Linked DNA regions of Xenopus tropicalis. The protein of the gene in region 1 purifies or fractionates together with the protein of each later gene. This does not show direct contact. Links are inferred from orthologs where the notes say so. Each region holds a gene or a part of one and is shown in the gene's direction. Other genes may lie near its edges.

Region 1 (2,983 bases):
GAAAAAGAGAGTACATTTTTATTCTATATCAAAATGCGCAGGGGGCAGTTCAATACCCCTCATGTTCACAGGAAGGTGTACTTCTGACCCCCTTTGGTTGGAATATTTTGAAATCGGAGTAATTGTGGCAATTCTACATTCTGTCTCACAGGATGCAATCTGAAGATTTTTAATAACCAAGAGTTTGCTGCTCTCCTCGCTCAGTCTGTGAATCAAGGCTTCGAAGCAGTTTATCAGTTAACTCGAATGTGCACCATAAGAATGAGCTTTGTAAAAGGCTGGGGTGCTGAATACAGGTAACTCTTCATTTATCAAGTGTATTTTTGGATGCATATTGATACACTATATGAGAAAATGCAGAGCAGAGACCTACTTACAGCTGCTGACCCAATCCTATCTGATCCCCCAATTGTAAGCAGCAGTCCTGCCCTGCTTTATGGCTGAGATTCTAGCTATCTGTATAACAGAGCATTCTGTCACAGTGGCACAGATCCTATCTGATCCCCCCATTGTAAGCAGCAGTCCTGCCCTGCTTTATGGCGGAGATTCTAGCTATCTGTATAACAGAGCATTCTGTCACAGTGGCACAGATCCTATCTGATCCCCCCATTGTAAGCAGCAGTCCTGCCCTGCTTTATGGCTGAGATTCTAGCTATCTGTATAACAGAGCATTCTGTCACAGTGGCACAGATCCTATCTGATCCCCCCCATTGTAAGCAGCAGTCCTGCCCTGCTTTATGGCTGAGATTCTAGCTATCTGTATAACAGAGCATTCTGTCACAGTGGCACATAATCAAGCATTACCATGCCTCATTGCTAATGTTTTCTGCCTTGTGTGCTCGTGCTTAACCCTCCTCTCTGTCTGTCTGTAGGCGGCAGACCGTTACAAGCACTCCATGTTGGATCGAGCTTCACCTGAACGGACCTTTGCAGTGGTTGGACAAAGTGTTGACACAGATGGGATCCCCTTCAGTGCGCTGCTCAAGCATGTCCTAATGGGCGCTTCTTTTATGTATTACCTGCGGGTGGCAACCGAAGTCCCAGCAACAGACTCAATACAGCTTGTCTGTCATAGTATTTGTGTGTGGTCCCCATGAACTGTTTACAATCCAAAAGAAAAAAAAACAAAAAAACAAAAACAAAAAGCGAAAACAGCACTTGAGGTCCCATCAACGTAAAGCACCTTGTCGGATTATGTTTCTGATACTCTTAAAGTAGCTGAAATATTAGTGTATAAATGACTCCTTACCAGGGACGGGACTCTTTTAAAAAAAAAAGGACATTTAACAGTGTATTATTGGGCAAAGAGTTGAGTGTCGGGATAAACAATAAACACAAGTAGTCCCTATGTACATGTCCTGTATATTGTTCTCCAGTTACTGTGCAGTTATGCCTTTTAGTTGCAGCAGATAGCGTGCCTGCTTCCCCTCATTTTACTCCTGTCACAATCAAAACACATTGCGTTTTGCCATTATTATTATTATTATTATTGCCCTCTTATATTTGTATTTTTTTTTTTCCTTTTTTGACTACTTGCTATTTTTATAAGTTGTTCTAATGAATCTGCTGTCGCTCCTCTCCCCTTGCGTATTTTCCAAAGCAGCCGCGAACATATCACCCCCGAATTGGCGTTCTCTGGTAAACCAACCGGTGATCGAGTAGCCGAACGTATTTTTATTCACCCCCCCCCCCCCCGGACCCAGCAGTCGTTCATGGTATTGGGTCGATCACGGTTTGTACCAGTTGGCAAGCCAAGCACCGGAGCCTTTGGGCTTGGAAGTGTAACCAGCAGAGGAGGGGTTATTTTTTTATTTTTAATTGTTTTTTTTTTAAGTGCATGTTATTGTAAACCCTTGGACACTACATTTGGACCCTATACAATATTTAGAATTCTATTCTATGGATGTCTGAGGATAGGGAAAGGGTTGGGCAGAGGCGGTTTAGAAAGGGTACTCTGGCTTTAATATGTACATCTTACTAACCATTTTGTTCTCTTGCTGTCTGTCAGATCTTTCTCGTTGGGGCAGTATTTGCCTTCTCTCTCCCCCTCTTACCCCCACAGCTATCCCCCTTTTTACACTAGTAGTGTACTTTGTGAGTACAGCTAGTGACTGCTCCTTGGCTTTCTGAACAAACCTCAATAAACCAATAAAACAAAAAACCAAAAGCGGCCAGTGTTAGGATGTCTCGTCATTCAGCGAAATCTCGGAGAGCGGGCATCTCTTTAATTGTATGCTGTATCGTTTAGAACATAGAGGCAGTTCCACAACTGTGTGTCGGAAAGGTAAGCAGTAGGCCAAACCATTGCAAAACAAAAAAAACGTAATTGGCAAAAGCATTTACCGTTTGTGAACTAGTTTTACCAGTAGGCTTGTGTATTGGTAGAACTTGTGAACTAAAGACATAAGCTTTGTGCGTGTTGCATTTGCCGAATATGTGAATACACTAATAAAAGATTTAATTCTCACTGTGGCGTCGCTTCTTTTGGCCTCTGTAGGACCCCCCCCATTTTGACTTATATTTTAGTATGATGTAGTGCAGTGATCCCCAACCAGTGGCTCAGGGGCAACATGTTGCTCCCCAACCCCTTGGGTGTTGCTCTCAGTGCCCCCAAACCAGGGAGTTATTTTTGAATTCCTGACTTGGGGGCAAGTTTTGGTTGAATAAAAACAAGATTTCCTACCAAATAAAGCCCCCTGTAAGCTGATAGGGTGCATAGAGGCCCCTAATAGCCAATCACAGCCCTTATTTGGCTCCTCCATGAACTTTTATGGTGCTTGTGTTGCTCCCCAAGTCTTTTTACATTTGATTGTGGCTCACGAGTAAGAAAGGTTGGGGACTCCTGATGTAGGGAGTAATATACTACGACAATTTGCAGTTGGTCTTCATGATTATTTGTGTTTTTTTTAATTACTTGTTCAGCAGCTCTCCAGTTTGGAATATCAGCAGTTGTCTGGTTGCTAGGGTTTAATTTTGCCTTAGT
Region 2 (3,524 bases), on another chromosome or scaffold:
CCTCTTTATTACTTACATTAGACAAGCAGGTATGTTGGACACAGATGTCTAACCCTGTATTATGGGACTACTAAAAGGCAAATTTTCTGTTCAGGACATACACCATATTGTGGTGCACACAAATAATTTTGTACTAATTTTAGCCACCCACTTTTCCTCTTTTGTTTGCGGGTACATACCTCCCTACATTTGAAAAATGCAAAGAGGGACAACATTTTTGACCACGCCCATTTTTGCAACCACACCTCCTAAAATACCACTCCCATTTTACAAAATATAGCAGGTTATTTAAAGTTTGAACACATTTCTGGGGGTTTGGGGGTCTTGTTGTGTTTTGCAAAAAAAAACAAAAAACCTGTTTAGCTTATTAGTTACAATTGTATCTAAGTGCATGTGTAGCTTCTTAACTTTTCTGGGCTTTCTGCCAAAAGCTACTTTTTTAATTAAGTTTGAGAAAGATTGTATCTTTTTTAGCTTGAGGGACTTTTTAGAAAGAATCTGGGACTGCGGGCTAAGCTGTCAAAATTGGGACTGTCTTTTGAAAATCGGGACAGTTGGGAGGCATGGCCCGACTATAAGGAAATTGTGGGTAATGCTGGCTCTCATGTTAGGGTATGTCAGAATAAGTTCAGCTCAGTGCACCATGGGTAGTTTTTTCTAAACCACAACTGTTGTTAAATACTACAGCTCAATACAAAACAGTTGCCAACTTGTTTGGAAGTAAAAACAGGGAATGAAATTATAGCTGAAGAGAGCATTATTTTATAGTCATGTGTGGGTTTAGAGTTACATTTTATTCTATTGCTGAAATGTATCTTACCAACTAAGAATAAAGCATGTACATACTTCTTCTATTCAGCTTTTGAGGAAGTGTATCCTGCAAATGGTGAAACCTGCAGTGGAAGGATCATTGGGTTCCCCTCCATTTGAGAAGCCTAGTATTGAGCAGGTAATGGGGATCTGACATCTTTTCCTACCTACCTTAGTTTTTTAATGTATGTATATTTGTATTTCTTTTTGTACTTATCAAAGTTCCAGGCTGTTAATCAGTGTCTAATTGTTTATTCCTTAGAAAGTGGTGTTTTCTTAACAAGGCAACTTTTGGAAATCTTGGGCTGTAGAGGGATGTATATCACTGATATTATTTTTTAGTTATAAAATGTCCTTTTCATAGCAACTTTGGTCTTTATTATTATTTTTTTGTTATAGATTTTGAATTATTTGCCATTTTGTTCTCTATCTTTCCAGCTTTCAATGGGGGGGGGGGGGGGGGGGTGGGTCACTGACCCCGACAGCCAAAAAACTGTTGTTCTGTGAACTTACAATTTTATTATTTTTGTTACTTTTTATTACGTAATTTTCTATTCAGTCCCTCTCCAAAACATATTTCAGTCTCTCATTCAAATTGTCTGGTTGCTATGGTAAACAGGACCCTAGAAAACAGCTGCTAAATTCCAAATAACTGATAAACCAAAAGGAAACAAAATTAAAAAACAAGTGCAAATTATCTTATAATATCATGTCTACATCATACAAAAGTTAATTTAAAGGTGGACAACCCCTTTAGTGAGCAGTGACTACATTGGGAACACTCTTGTCCTTACATTACATATTCGTGTTTTTGGACCTTTTGCGATATAAACACATAACCAATGGCAAATCTGCAAAATCCTACATTATTCTCTTTTAGTAGATATAATAATGTGTGTTGCTTTAGAAGAAAAAATCCAAAATTTTCTGACAATGCTTTTTATGTCATTATAACCTTATTCTTCTAGAATGATAGTGGGAAGAATTCCTAGTTCTAGGTCACTAAAGTGTTTAAAGGGCAAATATAACTACCATCTCTCATTCATTTATTTTCTTTATAGTCAATTTAACCTAAGTGTGCTGACTGAGAACCCATTCTCTGCATTCTGCACCACACTATGAAGCTACCACATGCCATGCACAATAATTTAACAATGTACAGTAATGACCAGTTTTCAGTATTGGCTTATTAAAGCCTAAAGGTGGCCATACATGGGCCGATTTTAGGTGCTGATATCAGTCCTTTAGACCAATTTGGGGACCGAATTGGCTAGTTGATGCGCTTCCCGAACCAACGTCGCCTATGCCTGCCGTTTTAATTAATTGAATTACCCCGATATCGCCCACCTGTAGATCTTACAGTGTATGGCCACCTTTACTGGGGCATCAGTATCTGGATGGCAGCCTTAATTGTAGCCAAGCAGAACTGAGCTGATCAGCAGCAAGTAACAGAGTCTGTATTACAGAGCAAATTACTTTCTACACTGCTCACGTTTTTTTCAGGCAGGGGTCAAGAAAACAAAATCTGTGTTATCTTCTTTCTAGGTAGTCTGAAAACATGAAGACTATATTCACTGTGCATCTCTGTATTTACTTTCTTTAAAGGGTGTAAATAATTTTGTACAGTACAAGTTCAGCCATTTGCCTTCCAAAGAAAGACAGACTATCATAGAGCTGGCTAAAATGTTCCTGAATCGCATCAACTACTGGCATTTGGAAACTCCCTCCCAGCGAAGACTAAGGTCACCAAATGATGATATTGCTGGATATAAGGAGAACTATACAAGGTACACTCTTCTTAATGCAATAGTAATGGGTATCTATTGCTGTTGTGTTGCATGCAATCTCTATGATTTGTGGATGTGCATCGTTTGTCGGCTTTGTGAAACTGAAAGACTGCAACAGAAAATCTGAAGTGGTTTGAACTGGCTGCCTGAGTAAAAGACCAAATTATTATTTCATGTGACCTAATTGTGGATTGTTGCTTGCGGGGTGTTGCCATATTTATTAAAGTGGCAAGGCCAAGGGCTTACACTCTATACACAATATTTCAAGGCAAGTACTTCCCTCTATCAAGTTCTTATCTATTCTTGCTATTCTGGCTGTCTTATGCCACACTAAATGACTGAGCATAGAGCCCTGGACAGGTGAAGAGGAGTCACACAGCCTACACTTAACAACAGCTAGAACTGAAACAAAGAAATTGCTCTTTGTAATGAACAAATAGCATAGACCTGGTATAGGATTCTAATCTTTTGACTGAAAGTTTACTTGCTGGTAGGGCAATGGCTCATGGGGAGATTAGTTGCCTGCGGTTAATCTCGGCTACCGTGGGTGACTAATTTCCCTGAAATACCTTTCCACAGGCAATAAAGTAAAATTTCCTGCAAGAGGAAACTTTAAGCGACCTCAGAAAACAAAGCGATATGTATGCCTTCTCGCCGGCGATTCACTTTATATTTGGTGGGAAGGCATTTTAGGAAGATTAGTCGCCTGCAGTAGCTGAGATTTAACTGATCTAACTAATCTCCCCATGGTCCATCAGCCTTAGCTTTTTTATGCTTATTTATCAGTGCCTTAATTACAATAAAACTTGTATTAATTTATAGTAATCTCAATGACCATAGGGAGGGGGTGCAATAATGTTAAAGTTTTAAAGGTATAAAGGTATAAACTATTTTATATGTTAGAAAAATTGAACACGCACAATAAAA

The links.
Region 2: the proteins of smad2 (region 1) and kat2b purify together in Homo sapiens (affinity purification with western blotting, with the first as the bait; 3 studies listed by BioGRID). This does not show direct contact. The link is inferred for Xenopus tropicalis from reciprocal best matches to the Homo sapiens genes SMAD2 and KAT2B.

Annotation. Positions count from the first base shown.
Region 1 is NC_030677.2:206,124,081-206,127,063, forward strand, and holds the end of smad2 (mothers against decapentaplegic homolog 2), read left to right. Parts: intron 1-151; coding exon 152-296; intron 297-872; coding exon 873-996; 3' UTR 997-2,467; downstream 2,468-2,983. UniProt on the Homo sapiens protein: Receptor-regulated SMAD (R-SMAD) that is an intracellular signal transducer and transcriptional modulator activated by TGF-beta (transforming growth factor) and activin type 1 receptor kinases.
Region 2 is NC_030682.2:45,629,698-45,633,221, forward strand, and holds part of kat2b (histone acetyltransferase KAT2B), read left to right. Parts: intron 1-859; coding exon 860-949; intron 950-2,415; coding exon 2,416-2,597; intron 2,598-3,524. UniProt on the Homo sapiens protein: Functions as a histone acetyltransferase (HAT) to promote transcriptional activation. Has significant histone acetyltransferase activity with core histones (H3 and H4), and also with nucleosome core particles.